Macaca mulatta: one gene and its partner. The protein of the gene in region 1 purifies or fractionates together with the protein of each later gene. This does not show direct contact. Links are inferred from orthologs where the notes say so. Each region holds a gene or a part of one and is shown in the gene's direction. Other genes may lie near its edges.

Evidence for each region.
Region 2: the proteins of ITGA2 (region 1) and ITGB1 purify together in Homo sapiens (co-immunoprecipitation; 3 studies listed by BioGRID and IntAct, with this or other methods). This does not show direct contact. The link is inferred for Macaca mulatta from reciprocal best matches to the Homo sapiens genes ITGA2 and ITGB1.

Annotation. Positions count from the first base shown.
Region 1 is NC_133411.1:60,828,775-60,838,241, forward strand, and holds part of ITGA2 (integrin alpha-2 precursor), read left to right. Parts: intron 1-1,352; coding exon 1,353-1,463; intron 1,464-2,029; coding exon 2,030-2,112; intron 2,113-2,533; coding exon 2,534-2,675; intron 2,676-3,790; coding exon 3,791-3,883; intron 3,884-4,467; coding exon 4,468-4,544; intron 4,545-5,913; coding exon 5,914-5,997; intron 5,998-9,467. UniProt on the Homo sapiens protein: Integrin alpha-2/beta-1 is a receptor for laminin, collagen, collagen C-propeptides, fibronectin and E-cadherin. It recognizes the proline-hydroxylated sequence G-F-P-G-E-R in collagen.
Region 2 is NC_133414.1:34,307,866-34,317,332, reverse strand, and holds part of ITGB1 (integrin beta-1), read left to right. Parts: intron 1-480; coding exon 481-651; intron 652-2,583; coding exon 2,584-2,822; intron 2,823-4,937; coding exon 4,938-5,093; intron 5,094-5,929; coding exon 5,930-6,025; intron 6,026-6,325; coding exon 6,326-6,415; intron 6,416-7,941; coding exon 7,942-8,109; intron 8,110-8,281; coding exon 8,282-8,481; intron 8,482-9,467.

The DNA of each region.
Region 1 (9,467 bases):
TATCAGGGAAAAATTTTATTTATTGTTCAGCTACTGAAAAATAAGTCCAATTGTGGTTTCTACTATTAGATTTCAGTTACCATAGATGCCATGTAGTAGATTATGAGATAACAATTATTTGTTCTAATTGTATGCTATAATTACTGTATTTAACATGGATTTTGAAAATTTCCCAAGTAAGAAAAATGCTTTTCAGGAGAACACTTCCAACCAGAAATTTATTTTATAAATGATGTGAATATTTCCACCTTGGAAACCACATAATGGCATTTGAAAGGATAATTTACTCAGGAAACCACTTTTTTAAAAAGGATATTTAAGTACTTTCTTAGAATATGGTTCTCAGAATTTAAGGAGCAAAGGAACTGCCAGGGAAACTTTCGGGAAATGTATATTCCGGGTTCTTACCATCAGAAATCTAGGTTTGAAGGCCCAAGGAATATGCAGGTCTAAGGAGCACCACAATTATTTCTCATGTAAATGGATGGTACAGAGAGATCTTACTTCAAGAAATGCTAAGTGTAAACACTAGAAAAACATATTGACGGTTAAATGAATTAAAATCAATTGAGTTGTTTAGTTAATTTTTCAGTTTGAAGGTTTCTTGTTTGTGAAGACATGGACTTCTTTGTTGTTAAGGTGACAATTTTATAGATTCTTTAAAGGAAAAAATCTTTTTTCCCTTCTCTCCCATCCTGTGCTAAGTGGTGGATCAGATTATACTCGTAATCCCTAGTGAGGAAATGGAGACAGCCAAGCTGTTTTTCTTTAAAGTAAAAAAAAAAAAAAAAAATCCTCTTTCTCTATTTGATATCAATGCCAGTTAAAGTACATCCTACTTGCTAAGCCCACAGCCAGCGAAGGAAACATCTCCTCATAGCCCAGAGCTATCATGGTAGACAAGCCCCCAGAAGGAGTAAGTCCTTCTGGGAGGACTTCTGGGAGGCCCCCAAGAGTTAAGAGTAAGTCCTGCCTGTGAATGGACTAAAGAATACCAAGATACTGCTTCTGAGTAAAAGGCAAATTCAAATGTTAGGGTTTCACTTGTATAGACATAGTGCTTTCTTGACAAGAACTGATGAGCTTCATTAACTAAGAATCCCTGCTTCAAATTCTTACTAGACCCAAGTCTCCTTTGGTTTCTTAGTAGAAGAGAGGCTAAAAGCAGAATGAGGTTGGAAGAAAAGAAGTGAGAGTCTTGATTATTCGAAACAAAGATATTCTACATAATTGAGAGCTGACTGTGCTCTTAATTGTAAACACATCTGTAATCGTTTTCTTGTTTTAATGCTGCTGTGCCCTAATAAACTGACTCTGTCTCTCCCTGTATGTTTGTGTGTGTGTATGTTTAGGAGCCCTCTGATGTTGTCAACTCTTTGGATTTGCGTGTGGACATCAGTCTGGAAAACCCTGGCACTAGCCCTGCCCTTGAAGCCTATTCTGAGACTACCAAGGTCTTCAGTGTAAGTGCAGCTTACACTTCCTGGATTTAGACTGGCAAACAAAGTTTCACAGTCACTACAATAGTGTCTGAAGGATACTTAGGATGCAGCCTGTAAATTCTTAATTTTCTAAATAAAATACAATTACATTTGCATAAAGTTCACTAACACTTAAGTTCCATGACAGTAAGGATTTTTGTTTTTCTTGTTCACTGCTGTATTTCCAGTCCCTAGACCTGGGCCTGGCCCATTGTATGTGTTCAACACATATTTGTTGAAGAAATAAATAAAAATAAAGTAAATGCCTTGTGCTCACCACTCAAAAAATATTACCAATACATATGAAGCTCTGTGTATCGCTGTCCCCGCCATAGACACTTTCATCTAGCTCCCCCTGCGCAAATGATTATCTTGAATTTTGTGTTTATTAATGCTTTTCTTTACTATTTTGTTAAACATTTATATATTCCTAGAACATTGTTTGGTTTTATACTTTTTGTAAATAGAATAATACTGTATGTATTCTTCTGTAATTTGCTTTTTCAACCCAAGAGCAAATGTATGGATCTTTTTTTCCTTTTTTGTAGATTCCTTTCCACAAAGACTGTGGTGAGGATGGACTTTGCATTGCTGATCTAGTTCTAGATGTCCGACAAATACCAGCTGCTCAGTAAGTTTTACTTTAAAGCTCATTGTAAAATGTAGAAATAAAAGACACATTAGATTACTTTATTCAAGTGAATGTTTATAGAGTTTTTCTACAAAAGAAACATTCATAACTAACAAGACCTTTAAAAACTAAATTTCAATGTCTACTATCCACATAAGAGTAAATTAATAAGAAATACAAAATTATCTGTATTTAAATAGTTCCATTCCCTCTAATATAATAGCAACAAAGAACAAAATCCAAACGCACTTACTTATTTGTTGTCAGTATCATTTTAATGCAAAGATAGTTTATTACAAAGCAATTTTCTCAGTATTCTAGGTAAGTCTAAAGAGTTTAGTTTTTTAATGAGTGAAATTTTAAAATACTGGCCTTTTTATTTAACAGTAATGGCTTCCTCCCTCCTTTTTGCTTTTAACAGAGAACAACCCTTTACTGTCAGCAACCAAAACAAAAGGTTAACATTTTCAGTAACACTGAAAAACAAAAGGGAAAGTGCATACAACACTGGAATTGTTGTTGATTTTTCAGAAAACTTGTTTTTTGCATCATTCTCCCTGCCGGTATGTGATGAGACCCTGCGCTTACTTCTACCATGCTTCCTACTTATCGATCACTCTATGTCCTCTGAGTTGTTTAAAGAAGCACCTTAACCCTCAGCATGATCAGTCTGAACTTTGTGGCTTCCGACTAGTTAAATCACATGAGAACATAGTCTGGCTCTATATCTAGATTCTGCTTGACAACTCGGGTCAGTTTTTCCCTTATCCTGAGACTTGGCAGCAGTAGCCAGACACTCCCATAACTCTTCTTGAGCCATCAGTGTGATGAGGCTGCTGCATTCTGCACAGATGCGGTGCACTTGCTCTGAGACATTTGAGTCCCAAAGCTCAGCCTGAGCTTTGCAACTACGGTTGCTGCTGCTGCCAAGATGATGCACATCAGCAAAGCCAGCTAATCACATTGACTTGATCGTTATACCAGGAACACACTTGACCGTGAGTGCTCCCTGGTCCCTCCCCTACCACCAAATGATGAAGAAAAAAGGGAGAGAAGGAAACGCTGAGATTTTCCAAATGAACTACTTGATTAAAGGATTAAATAGTGATTTCATTTAATTTAAAGTTAATGTGATCTTAATAGGCTTAGAGTTCTAAACCTAATCTGACCTTGCTGTTTAAACATCCTGTGCCAAGTGGCAACTACTTCTTTTAAAGGGGGGGAAAAAAACCTGAAGAAAACAAAACAAAACAAAACAACAACAACAACAAAAACCCTTCAAATTATTTAAAATACGAACACCAATATATTCTTCTCTTGAAAATGCTTCAAATAAATTGAGAAAAACATATTCCTAAAGCCAGCATTTTAAAATACTGAATTAAAGCTATTTGTGCATCTGAAATCTAAAAACTATCTTTTTCTGAGGAAAAAAATACAGTATTTAATCTTTTCTTTGGTTTGTTGGATGTCCTAGGTATCTTTAGGGCTAGCAGCAAAAATAGTATATTAGCCACCTGGGCAGTATAAAATTTCAAGTCTTGAGGGATAATAAATTATTTCAGTCTGAACCAACCTTACTGCTAAAATGTCACTGTACCTCTTTCACCAGGTGTGTGCATACACAGCCAAATATTATATGCCAATTGATCATTGTTGTTTCCTTGGTCTTGTTCAGGTTGATGGGACGGAAGTAACATGCCAGGTGGCTGCATCTCAGAAGTCTGTTGCCTGTGATGTAGGCTACCCTGCTTTAAAGAGAGAACAACAGGTACAGCTTGCATTTCATCCTCCAGTCCATACAAGCCCTCCTCAGCACATATGCTGATTTACCAACATAACATCCTGCTATCATAATTTGATAGGCATCACAAAATAACTGGCTGCATACTTAGGGGAAGTTTTCAATATCTGAATGTTTTCTTTAAATTATTAATAAAAATGGGATTTTCTCCATGCAATTCATTCCAAAAGGTACACACAATATGGAAGGTTCTTTTTGTCTAAATATGTCGAGCAACATTGGTCAAAGCACTCTACACAGAGTCATGGAGATCATTTATTAACCCCTGTTAACAAGTTTCACATCAGCTCATAGCTTCTAAATTCAGACAGGTATATGCACCTGGATAACTTACATGTGTCACTTGGAAGTCAAGCTTTTCTAATTCTAATGTGAAGCATAGTGAAACAAGGTGGACAAATAAAGATATTTTATAAATTGGAAAACTTAAGGTATATAAAATTCAGAATCAAATTTGAGTGAGTTTACTTTTATGGGAAGCATTTTTTTTTTTCACATTGACCCCTGAGTATGAAGCATCATAGACTGAGAAATTTTAATTTTGTCTTTAGGTGACCTTTACTATTAACTTCGACTTCAATCTTCAAAACCTTCAGAATCAGGCATCTCTCAGTTTCCAAGCCTTAAGGTAAAACATAATTAAGTCACCAATGGAATGATGGATAGCTTTATATTTCTCTTTTTTTAAAAATTTATTTATTATTATTATTATTATACAAGTTCTAGGGTACATGTGCATAACGTGCAGGTTTGTTACATATGTATACATGTGCCATGTTGGTGTGCTGCACCCATCAACTCGTCAGCACCCATCAACTCGTCATTTACATCAGGTATAACTCCCAATGCTATCCCTCCCCCCTCCCCCCCCCCATGATAGGCCCTGGTGTGTGATGTTCCCCTTCCCGAGTCCAAGTGATCTCATTGTTCAGTTCCCACCTATGAGTGAGAACATGCGGTGTTTTGTTTTCTGTTCTTGTGATAGTTTGCTAAGAATGATGGTTTCCAGCTGCATCCATGTCCCTACAAAGGGCACGAACTCATCCTTTTTGATGGCTGCATAGTATTCCATGGTGTATATGTGCCACATTTTCTTAATCCAGTCTGTCACTGATGGACATTTGGGTTGATTCCAAGTCTTTGCTATTGTGAATAGTGCTGCAATAAACATACGTGTGCATGTGTCTTTATAGCAGCATGATTTATAATCCTTTGGGTATATACCCAGTAATGGGATGGCTGAGTCATATGGTACATCTAGTTCTAGATCCTTGAGGAATTGCCATACTGTTTTCCATAATGGTTGAACTAGTTTACAATCCCACCAACAGTGTAAAAGTGTTCCTATTTCTCCACATCCTCTCCAGCACCTGTTGTTTCCTGACTTTTTAATGATTGCCATTCTAACTGGTGTGAGATGGTATCTCATTGTGGTTTTGATTTGCATTTCTCTGATGGCCAGTGATGATGAGCATTTTTTCATGTGTCTGTTGGCTGTATGAATGTCTTCTTTTGAGAAATGTCTGTTCATATCCTTTGCCCACTTTTTGATGGGGTTGTTTGGTTTTTTCTTGTAAATTTGTTTGAGTTCTTTGTAGGTTCTGGATATTAGCCCTTTGTCAGATGAGTAGATTGCAAAAATTTTTTCCCACTCTGTAGGTTACCTGTTCACTCTGATGGTAGTTTCTTTTGCTGTGCAGAAGCTCTTTGGTTTAATTAGATCCCATTTGTCAATTTTGGCTTTTGCTGCCGTTGCTTTTGGTGTTTTAGACATGAAGTCTTTGCCTATGCCTGTGTCCTGAATGGTACTACCTAGGTTTTCTTCCAGGGTTTTTATGGTATTAGGTCTAACATTTAAGTCTCTAATGTATCTTGAATTAATTTTCGTATAAGGAGTAAAGAAAGGATCCAGTTTCAGCTTTCTACTTATGGCTAGCCAATTTTCCCAGCACCATTTATTAAATAGGGAATCAATTTCGTAATGTTTCTTTCTATAGTGAAAGCCAAGAAGAAAACGAGCCTGATAATTTGGTCAACCTCAAAATTCCTCTCCTGTATGATGCTGAAATTCACTTAACAAGGTAGGTGAAGCGGTGGGTAACCTGTTATCACTAACACCAACTCTAGATCAGAAGATTTTTGGCTCATGGCTAAATAAGTCCTCTGTATGCTCATTCTTAACTGAAGAATTTGAATTACAATTCTTGTCAACTAAAACAGAAGTCCACAGACATATAGGTCCCTAGGAAAACCTTGAGTGACTCATTAGGTTTATTAAACTAACGAGAACAGCCCAGAAAGGCAGAGAAAGATCCCTGTAGCCACACATCACAGGCACACTTCACATTGCAGGCCCTCTGAGTAGCTGCAAACATTTTCAAAATGTTGAAACAGAACTCTCAAAGGTCCTGAGAATTGTCTGCACTTTCTTCTCACTGCCTGCTTCCCATTGTATATGAGATCTCAAGCGGTATCCCCATTCCTGGACATTGAGGCCCCAAGCACAAAGTTTTACACACAGTAGTTTCACAATAAATATTGAATCTAGTCACGGTTTGAATATTCAAATATTGAAACTAGATCAAGTCTAGTTTCTGAGTGAAAAATTCCTAACATATCAGATTAGGGTTTTCTTCCAGCCAGGAGGAAATGAGGTTTTTTCCAAAGGAGGTCATCCATAAAGAAATGCTTTGTTCCCTGTTTTTACCTGCCCAAAGCAAGCAAACCTGAGAGCAGTGGTGTAAATGTTACTGGTTGATACCAGCTGTCTTTAATTGTTCAGGGGGACGGGTGTCTTGGGAAGTGGGTGACATCCACATTTCACAGGTTCTAATAGATTGATATCACTTTAACTCATACATAGAAATAAGGTGAGTTCATGGCAGACAAACTGGGGCACAGTTGTGCAGGTGCAATGGGCCCAGGTGATGCCCTCCTACAGGCCGGGGAGCCAGAGTTCTCTACCTGGTGAAGCACTAGGACAGCTTCCCAGCACAGATCAATGACCCCTGAATAGCACACTGCAGCACTTTCCCAAGAAATCCAGTGACAGCAGGTTTGTCTAATTTCTACCACAATCACCCCAGCCCCTAAGAGCATGGAATCTGTAGATCATTCAATAGCTCTCTGAGCAAAAACAAAAAGGAAAATATGTCATCATGTCTAGAGCTTGAGCCAAAGAGCAAAGATGAAAAGAATGCTTCTGTATCAAGTGAGTTGCAAACAGCACAAGCAGAAGCAAAATACAGTCCAAATAATACATCTCTGAAAAAGTCATCAGTAACTGCAGACTTCAAAGGATCCCCACTTGCTAAAATAAGGCATTGGAAACAAATGCAACCAACCCAAATTGATGTTACCACATTACCTGAATATTTTCCTTCTTATATTGATCCTTTCTTCTAAATATTTTTTGTCAATACAGTCTTTTTATTATTCTACTGTCCTACAATGGCCAATATTTTTCCAGATATTTAAGAATGAAATAAATGTAAGATTGAAATGAGACTTTACTTTTACTAATTATCATATTAGGCATGTATTTTTGTAATGGCAACTTGAATTCAAATGTATTCTAATGTTCTTTAAAATATATCCTCAAAAACATTAACGTAGAGAATTATAAAGGACAAAAGCTAAAATGGCTCCTAGTCCTACTACCGAGAAAACCCAAACATTAGAGAAAGATACACAGTGAGAGATCATCCCTCCCCACCTTCCCTAGTGCCACTCCCCATAGGGGACTAACAAGACTTTTCCGAATATCTTCCAGATACAGGGTTGCTTATCTACCAGGATATATGCATATAACGCACGCACACACACACACACACACACATATACACACACGCACATTTTATTACCCAAAAGGAATGCTAAAACACTCTTCTGTACCTTGCATTTTACATAATCTTAGGAAAGTTTTCATATGAGGACATACAGATCCAACTTATTCCAGTTCTGACTGGATCATAATTTATATAACCGATTCAATATTAACAAGATATTTGGTTGTTTTGCATTTTTATTTTGTTTGGTTTAACCATCACAAGCAATGCTGCAAAAGAATTTAACAAACATCTTAACAAACTTTTGAAAAAAATCCTACCCAATAACTTAGTGTATTTCTTAGCAACAACTTTGATACTGTATAACTGTACAATTATACTGTAAAAAAAAGATGGGTAGAAATAACGATAATAGTATTATTTCTGAAGCAGGATCCCCCTGAGTATAGATAACTATTATTATAAATATATTGATCAACACTTAAGTAGCCTAAGGAACACTTAAGTAACAAATGGAAAAGTGTCAGATCTCTTTAAAATGCAAAGAGAGACCATATTAATTTAGAAATTGGCCCCATTTAGGATCTCACACAAAGATCTTCTGGAAGGCATAGGAAATAATTCATGCACACACATCCAAGCTTTCTGTTTCAAATCCTAGTCAGTTTTCCCATTTTCCATGTCAGGCTGACAAATCATTGTTTCCTCTCATATATAACCTTGACAAATACATCCACTCAAGTCTCCCTATGACATATTTTCCTTTTATGGACTTGGAAAAAATTCATTAAGGCATAAAAGAGGGAAAGACAAGGTTTTAGTACAGAAACCCAAAAAAATTCTACTTCAGAAAATGCCCACCCCAAGTTTTTAAGAAATAGAATTAACATTCTATAATTAACATAAATTGTCCAGTGGGAATAAATGGAAAGGATATGCACAGTGTTCTCAGACCCCTACCCTCACCACTCATACCTTAATCCCCAACCCAAAGAAGCTACCCTGGTTGGAATCCCACCTCAGAGCCCCATAAATGAGTGAGGAGAGGGGAGGTCCCCAGTTTCATTCTAGTCTGAGTGGTCCTATGAGGGTTTCTCTAATCTCATCATCACTTTGCTTGCAGAACTTTGTTGGTAATCTTAAGCAAAGAAGTTAAGATCAATCCAGCGTGTTTAGGTCCAGAATACTAAAACTTCTGGATCAGCCATCTTAAAGGTGGTCTCTACACTAATGGCGGAAACAGATTTGACCAACCCCATTCAGACTAAACCATTTGAATTGGTTTGCAACTAAAGAAGGATAGGAAGAATGAATAATACAGGCATCCAGTAATGAACACTGAAGGTGCTCAATACCCTGTTATTACATTTGAGCCACAGCAAGGTGAAAAACCCTGGCTTATAAATCCATTTATTCAACCAACAAGTACTGACTGTCTACTATGTTAACATGCTAGTCAATGTAACGGTAATCTTGGGAAGAGTTCTACTGTCAATTCTAAAGTAATACTTTTGTACTTATTTAGAAACTTGACAATTCGTAGACATATAATGCACAAACTCTTAGCAGAAAGTCCACAAAGAAATATGTTTTGAAAGGAATTTATGTTAGTCTTAGAAACATACATTGGACCATAAGCCCATAACAAGCATTTCTTTTGATTTGGTGCCTTTGTAACTAAAAGTAAAATTTATTTTAACCTAAACTATAAGATACTTAAATAAAAGAAATATTAACCTTCAAGAACAAAAGCAAACTAAAAT
Region 2 (9,467 bases), on another chromosome or scaffold:
TTAGCTAGTCTCTTTGCCTCAGTAATTTATTTTTAAAGCTTTCTGCCAGGTTTTCTAAAGTAAAAATTGGATCGTGTTATTCACTTGCAGGGAGTGGCTTCCCATTACACACAGAATGGAGTTCACAACTTCAGTGTCTAAAAAGTTGTACCCTATCACGTGTTCTGCCTTGCTCTCCCCAGACTAATTTATGATGTTCTATTTGTTTCCTTCTCTTGTAAACTGACTTTTTGTCTGTTTTGTCCACTGTGGATTGGGAATGTCTTTTTTTATCGTTGCATCCTGAAGGCCTGGTGTTTTAAGTATTTGTTGAATGAAATTGAATTCATACCCATTGAGTTACTTATGGAATTCCCAGGTTTTTGTAAAAATTATGACAGCATGTTTTATTTTATTGTGTTTACCATGTAAATCACATTTATTTGTTTCTTCTCGTTTGCCAACAGGCAAGTTTCATTTTCTAATCTCTTGTCTAATTAGGGGAGCCACAGACATTTACATTAAAATTCAAGAGAGCTGAAGACTATCCCATTGACCTCTACTACCTTATGGACCTGTCTTACTCAATGAAAGACGATTTGGAGAATGTAAAAAGTCTTGGAACAGATCTGATGAATGAAATGAGGAGGATTACGTCTGACTTCAGAATTGGTAGGAATGTTGGAAACATCGATCATTTTCATTATAAAGTCTTGGCAATTCTCAAATGTTGTTTTATGTTTTCTTCCTTTGTTACTCTCTACATACTTGTGAGATAAACAGGCCAGTTTTTTAGCCTTTTCTGAGTGGAAATTGATATTCCGGTCACACGTTTAATAATCTTTTCTGCCACCTTGTTCCTCTGTCACTGGATGCTACTGTTTAACACAGATTGTACCTCATACTGACTTGCATGCTTGTTTTCACACTAACTTGATCATTTATCTTATGACTTATTTTATTTTATTTTTATTTTTATTTTAAGAGTTTCGCTCTTGTTGCCCAGGCTGGAGTGCAATGGTGTGATCTCGGTCACTGCAATCTCCGCCTCCTGGGTTCAAGTGATTCTCCTGCCGCAGCCTCCGGAGTAGCTGGGATTATAGGCGTCTGCCACCACGCCCAGCTAATTTTTTGTAACTTAGTAGAGATGGGGTTTCACCATGTTGGCCAGGCTGGTCTCGAACTCCTGACCTCAGGTAATCCACCTGCCTTGGCCTCCCAGAGTTTTGGGATTACAGGCGAGAGCCCCCATGCCTGGCCCTTAGGACTTATTTTATAAACATGTATTGAGTACCCAGATTTTATCTAATTACTAGTTAGTATGGCTGTACCTGCCTGTACAGCCTGATCTCACCTTAGACCTGGATTTTTCATACGGTGATGATCTGTTTTCCAAACCTTATTTTTCCCATTTCATGCGTCCCCAGCTTAACCTCTTTTTTGCCTGCTTCTCTCCACTCCTGTTGCTGCAGAGGTTTAGCAACAGAAAATTAGAAAGATTTGACAATCATGAGGCCTAAGAGCTGCCTTTCAAAAACTAGCCCTATTTTAGTGGAAACTTTAAAAAAGAGCACTTGCTTAAAATGTTCTTTTATTCAGTAAGCATAATTCAAGGACCATGGCATTAGGGAACTCCTACCAAATTAGTCTTTTTTAAAATGGCCAGAATTCTAGAATAGTTATTCTTTTGTTCAGCATGCCATTATTGACAGCTGGTGTGCCAAGAAAATGAATGTGAGTTATTTTTAAAGTAGGGAGGCAAAATAAAAAGATTGACTTAGGTCTTAGTCCATTTGCGCTGCTTTAAGAAAATACTATAAACTGGGTGGCTTATGAACAACAGAAATTTATTTCTCACAGCTCTGGAGGTGAGAAGTCCAAGATCAAGGCAGATTGAGCATCTGGTGAGGGCCCTCTTCTGGGTTCATAGATGATACCTTCTTGCCATGTACTCACATAGCAGCAGGGGACAGCAGCTCTCTGGGGCTTCTTTGATGAGGTCACTGTAGGAGTCTATTCTTACGTTGCTATAAAGAAATATCTGAGACTGGGTAATTTATAAAGAAAAGAGATTTAATTGGTTTACAGTCCTGCAGGCTCTACAGGAAGCATGGCGCTAGCATCAGCAAGGCCTCTGGGAGGCCTCAGGAAGCTTCCAATCATGGCAGAAGGGAAAGTGGGGAGCAGGCTTCTCACATGGTGGGAGCAGGAACAAGAGGTGGGGGGAGGTGCCACACAATTTTAAATACCTGATTTCATGAGAACTCCCTCACTATGTCACTCACTCACTATGTCTGACCATGGCTTGGTCAGAATAGCACCAAGCCATGAGGGATTGATCTGCCCCCTTGAGCCAAATATCTCCCACCAGGCCGCACCTTCAACATTGGGGATCACATTTCAACATGAGACTTGGGTGGGGACAAATACCCAGACTGTGTCAGTCAGTAATCCCATTCATGAGGGCTCTGCCTGAATGGACAGACATTCAGTCCGTAGTAACCAATATGTGGTAACATAGATGAATTTTTTAAAGAATGCAAATCTCTGTCTTTCCATCTATCCTTCCATTCATTCATTTATGTACCATTTTTTTCTTTACAGGATTTGGTTCATTTGTGGAAAAGACTGTGATGCCTTACATTAGCACAACACCAGCTAAGCTCAGGAACCCTTGCACAAGTGAACAGAACTGCACCAGCCCATTTAGCTACAAAAATGTGCTCAGTCTTACTAATAAAGGAGAAGTATTTAATGAACTTGTTGGAAAACAGCGCATATCTGGAAATTTGGATTCTCCAGAAGGTGGTTTTGATGCCATCATGCAAGTTGCAGTTTGTGGAGTAAGCACATTCATTTCCTATAAGGGGATATTATTTCTATTACGTGTGTGAATTTTAAGTGTGATTTTACTATGTTAATAGAAAAATTGATCTTAATTTTCATACATTTGATTATCTTAGAGAAGTAATTTAAGTAAATCCTTAAATTGCCTGTATACAGGTGCCTTTATAAAAGCATATTTAATCTTTATGCAAACCAGGCAGTTAGTTTATTCATGCACGCTTTTAAAAGCCAGAATGCTAACCATTTGAAACAGCGGGGCAACCTCCCTGTACTGTAGGTGGTGGTCTGGATTTTAGAAAAGCCCTTGTGTCTTAACTTTCTGGTTTTGTACCAGAGATAGAATTGATGTTATTACCTGAGGCATCACCAGGAACCTTGAAATTGCTCAAAGGGAGGGTGTCTTGTATCATTTTCCTTTGGTCAGTTTTCTTCTCACTGTCTTTGAAAGACACATCTTTCACATCTTTTGAATTAGTAATTCAAAAAGAAATAACTTTTTAAGCTCTAGTTTTTAAGCTATATGAATAGATGTATTTTGAGAAGTGGTATAATATTTGTAATTTTAATTGTAAGATTTTTAGTAGCAAGCCCATCCCTATTGGATCAGTAATTGGCATTTTATGATCCATGTAGCAGCAGCATATTTTGAGATGACACTTGAATGGTGTGGCTGAGGCTGAAACTAGAAAAGATTGTGAGGTCAAGTTTGTCCTGTGTACCTACTCTTGTCTCATTTTTGTTCCATCCAGTGCCCCCATTCTCTAGATGACCTTCTTTGATTTTAGAGGCCTCTTAATGGTTATTTTTCAGTCAATTTTTGCTAAGGTGCTAATTGATGCCCAAAATAATAAGTGAAGGAATATGGATAGTAATACAAATTTTTCTATCACCACTGATGCTGGGCAATTTACTTAGTCTCTCCAGGGCTGTTTTCTTTTCTTTAAGAAGGGATGATAATAGTTATCTACCTCATAGGGCTCTTGTGAAGTTAAAATGCATCAATCTCTAGAAGTACCAGTGAGCATTCGGCAAATACCAATTCCTATATTGTTGTTACTTTCGAGTTTTCACTAGAGTGTTTGCAATTTAAGGTTAGTCCTTGCTATTGTAGCCGAAGCAGGTAGCATTCCAGGTAGTGCCTAGCCTTACACCTCTTTTCTTGCTAGCCAGTGACATATGAACCAGTTAGCATCTCCTTGTGGAGAGAGCATTCTCTGGGCTGCCTCTAACTAGGCCTTAACCTGTGGGATTAAACAAGCCATAGCACCCTTGGTTGTGGCTATTTTTCTGTGTTGGTCATGCTGATCCACTCCTCTAGATGCAAAATGATTCATCACTCCACTTTTGAAAGATTGCCAGTATTAATTAATGTGATTACCACCTTAAAGGATTTTACAGTCTTATGAAGATCTAAACAGACGTATTAAATAAATTAACTAAAGCAAGTAAATTCCTGTAGTCATAAGATTTTATAATTATAAATTACCATAGTGACAAAAAGATTTTACAGTTACTTTAGATTCTTATTGGAAAGGTCAAGAATAAAGTAAATGAGCAGATAAACAGTACTGATTGAGGAGTTAGAATGGGTGAAATTATCCTTAAACAAGATAATTATTTCCGTTATAAAAAAGGGAAGCCTCATATGGTGGGCTGATAAGGTGTATGGCATAGAATATAGAGCAGATGGGTGGATGGGGACAAGACAGCAGCAGTGGGGTAAAGTAAGAATAGGCTGAGACACTTTCATTTATTCAGCAAATGTTCATCGAGCGCTTACTGCTTGTCAAGCAGTGTGCTGGCTTGCTAGCTGCTGGAGATACGATGATAAGCAGAACCAAACCAAACCAAACAACAACAACAAAAAACAGTTTTTAAAAAGAACTGAGAGAGATGGATGGTCAGGCAAGATATGGTTGTACATGGGATGGAAGAGCTTCATTCACTGGGCTTTGTGCATTTCTCAGCAAGATAATTAGCATTGTATAAAGAGAAGACACAGAAAAAACAGAATTAGGTTAAAATACAATGGTGGCCTGTATGAAAATTAAAGGATTTTTGTTGAATTACCGTGAATAGTGTTTTAAAATTGAAATCCTTTTCTTTTCAAGTCACTGATTGGCTGGAGGAATGTTACACGGCTGCTGGTGTTTTCCACAGATGCCGGGTTTCACTTTGCTGGAGATGGGAAACTTGGTGGCATTGTTTTACCAAATGATGGACAGTGTCACCTGGAAAATAATATGTACACAATGAGTCATTATTATGTAAGTGCTTAGTTCCTTACATAGCAAATGTGTTTATGTTGGATTTTAATGTTTAATACTAAGAGTTTGTGGGTGACTGGCTTGGGGTTTCTCAGGGTTTGAGGTTTTGCTATTTTGGTAAGTAGGGATCCTGATTGAAAGTGCAGGAAAGCTAGTGTTGCTGTTTGTGAAGATGTGGCTTTGTATTTGCTTCCTTCTGCTCAGACAAGGGCCTCACTGGGGTGAGAAAGGGATGCCCAGATGCCACTTTCACTCTTTGCCTCAACTCCCTGCCCACAGCATTTGGTAGCACAGTCAGTACTATTTCTAAATAAATAATTTATCTAGTCTCATACTCTTTGTCTTATATGATTTTTAAAAGCAGTCACTCTGCCTTTATTGAAAAGAAATATTGGCAAAAGCATTCAGGTTCTAGAAGAAATCCAAATGGGAAATCTTGGTCTTTTTCTTAAGTTGTAGATAGTAGAATATTTGATTACTGACTATTCTTTAATTTCATTGTCCCTATATTTAATATACATAGATAATCTTACTATTTAAAACCTTTTGAATATGGAATTTTTTGTTCAAACATGAAAGAGAAGAGGATTAGCAATTCATGTATACACACTACTCACTTCAGCAGTTTATATTTGATATTATTTGAAAGCAGTCTTGTAATCTAGTTATATGTATGCAAGAGATGTACTCTAACTATATATAAATTACATATGTAATCTAGTTATCTAAAGCAGTCTTGTAATCGAGTTATGTATAATCTTGCATGTATGACTAGATTGAAAAATTAGATTATAAGGGTGTATTTACATACTAAAATATATTACTTGATTTCTTAGGATTATCCTTCTATTGCTCACCTTGTCCAGAAACTGAGTGAAAATAATATTCAGACAATTTTTGCAGTTACTGAAGAATTTCAGCCCGTTTACAAGGTAAATGTGTGAGATAAAAAGAACAAAATTCTAAATATTTTTGGTTGAGTTGTTAGAGGCAAATCATGTCTGAATTGAAATGTGGGAAAATGCCACCAGATAGGCAAACCGAATTTTACAAAAGTGGTTTATATTAACTTTTAATTACATATTATAAAACTGGTTTCTAGGTTTGACTCCTAAAGTTAGTTAGGATGAGACATATGGGAACTGGCATTTAAAGATAAAAGTTGCTCAGTAGATGCTAATTGGTTGAATGAATAGTAGATGTATTTTACGTGTTTTATCTTTTAATTGCAGGAACTGAAAAACTTGATCCCTAAGTCAGCAGTAGGAACATTATCTGCAAATTCTAGTAATGTAATTCAGTTGATCATTGATGCATACAATGTGAGTACATCTTAAATAAGATCAGTTTTGGACAATACCCTGTTGAGAATACTTTCTTCAAAGAAAGTGAAACTTCCTTCATACACACCTTAGCGAGCCCAAAGTACTACAGAAATCTTAAATCTTAAAGGCATATTCTGATAGAATAGATGACTTTTCTGATAGAAAAGTTGTGTTTTTTTTTTTTTTGGCCAATTCTTTTCCCATATATTCAGAGGATATAGGTTTCTATTCAGGAGGTACACATACACTCATATATACATATACCATAAAATACATAAAAATGTAAATATATGTGTGATTTGCCTATTTCAAAAAGATTTATAGTGTTGTTTTCTCCTCACAGATGGGAGGAAGTTGAATTGAAATTAAAGAGGAATTGGCTTCTCCTTTTTGAGCATAATTCAGTGTACTTCAGTCACACTGAGTTAGCCTTAATTAGTGATCATTTAAATAATCTGAAGGCAATTGTAATATTATGGTAACCCTTGTGTGCCTCGTGCACCGCTTTCAGCCCCCATCCCCCTAACCCTTTGGCAGCTTGAATTTTAGACATTTTTACCTCATGTCATGGGGGTACCATAATACTTTGGAAAGGCCTGACTCGGAGGGGTTTTTACAAAGGTTTTTAAGGTTTTACTGGTTCCACAGCTTTTCCATTCTCCCCTGTTAGATAATTTTCGTAACCCCTGTTTTTCAGGGGTGTGAACAAGAGATAGCTTGCCATTTTACCCTTCTCCATTTGTCCTGAATAGTCTCATACGTTAAACAAGCACTGGTTTGAATCCTTGGGGGATTTTGGGTTTTTTTGTTTGTTTGTTTGTTTTGGCTGGGCTACAATGGTTCCTTAAGCAAATTTGTTCCTAGACTGCATAGTTGATTGTTTACCCTAGTCTGTAGTTAGCTGGAGAGGTAGAACTGCAGAAATGCCATTTTGCCAATGGGGAAGACAGCATTTATTTCACTTTTTTTTTTTTTTTTTTTTTTTTTTTAAGATGGAGTCTCGCTCCTGTCTCACCCTCCCGAGTAGTTGGGATTACAGGTGCATGCTGCCACGCCCGCTTATTTTTTTTTTAATTTTTTTTATTTTTGTATTTTGGCAGAGATGGGGTTTCACTGTGTTGGCCAGGCTGGTCTCCAACTCCTGAGCCCAGGCAGTCCACCTACCTCTGCCTCCCAAAGTGCTGGGATTATAGGCGTGAGTTACCACGCCCAGCCTGTTGCACATTCCTAAGACTTCTCCTGATCAGCAGTGGCCCTCCACACTGTGTGATCCTGAGTATTTTAACTCAGCGGTTAAAACACGAATACTCTTTTCAGTTGTGTATTTTATTTTACAGATTGGATCCTTATTAATTAAAACCTATTTCTCTGGCCTCTGTGTTTTCTAGTTGCTCAATTGGATTTGGCTTGTAAATATTTTATTGAAATATATTTTTTTCTGAATAGTTTATTTATCCATTGGTTTTATGCATTCAAGTAGATTTTGTTTGACTTTTCCTGTGTATAATTAGGCATTCTTTTAGTCCCTTTCCTCAGAAGTCATTTTGGAAAACGGCAAATTGTCAGAAGGAGTAACAATAAGTTACAAATCTTACTGCAAGAACGGGGTGAATGGAACAGGGGAAAATGGAAGAAAATGTTCCAATATTTCCATTGGAGATGAGGTATGTTGTATTTCCATTGGAGATGAGGTATGTTGTATAATATAATGTATGAGGTATATATTTTCTGTAGAAAACATTGGTTATTTATAAGCAAAGTTAGTTTGTACTTTGAGAAACATTAAAATAAGTGAGCAACTTTTTGAAATATTTTTTAGTAGATTTAAATTGCTTAGTTGTTAATCTTTTTTTTCCCTTCAAGGTTCAATTTGAAATTAGCATAACTTCAAATAAGTGTCCAAAAAAGGATTCTGACAGCTTTAAAATTAGGCCTCTGGGCTTCACGGAGGAAGTAGAGGTTATTCTTCAGTACATCTGTGAATGTGAATGCCAAAGCGAAGGCATCCCTGAAAGTCCCAAGTGTCATGAAGGAAATGGGACGTTTGAGTGTGGCGCGTGCAGGTAAGCTGGGCATTGTCAGACAGTGACATAGCTACATTGGTTTAGAGAGTACAGGCAGGTCATATTTTGGGACATCCAGAGAATATCTCTCTATTTGGAGCAAATATTTTTTCCAACCACGGTTGCTCACCACAAGATCAGTTTGATGATCTTGTGTGTGATATTTATATAAAGTTCCTTCCTGCCTTTTTTTCTTAAAGTGATTACTCTTTAAAATAAAAGATTTTATAGCCATGGAAGAAGTATATTCAACAAGTTGTCAAGGTAGTGTTTCTCTCATGTGAGAGCAATCTGAATTTATTAGAACAAAATAAGCTTATGTAAAATATGTTTATAGAAAAATAAAAACATCAAACCGGTGATGGTGATTTTGTTGGGGAAATGGAATTATGAAGCAATAGAAGATGTTTGTCTTGTACTACATGTACTTCTGCATTGTTGGAATTTAAAAAAAAATAAATATGTGTTGTAAAATAAAAAAGAGAAAATGGTATTTTCAGCATGTAGTGTCTAATACTAAGAAAACTAACAAAATTACTTCAGATTTTATTTTCACACTGTGGTTATTTTTTGTAATTGAAAATTAAAAACTGAGTATACTTTGAATACAGCTTTCTCCGTAAAAGAATAGGAAGAGGGGAGAGTGTTGAATCCAGTGTTAGCCCCAAATGACTAGGCTTAGAAGGCTGTTGACCATGAAAGAAATACATGGCTGTAGCTCACTATCAGTTTTTAATTGTCTGTGCTAAGTAATAATTTAAATGTTAGAATTTTTTTATCTTCCATGTTGTACATATCCTGTTTTAATCATGCAGGCCCATTTTTAGTAAATGTCATTTAACCAAAAAGATTATCTTGAAAATACTTTGCCTTTCTTTCCTTTATATTTTTACCAGATACAGAATCAGTGCAGTCAGTGTCCGTGAGCATTATGTGTTCTAAAAATACACAGGGAACCTGAAAAGTCTGCACCTGTAGGATAAATT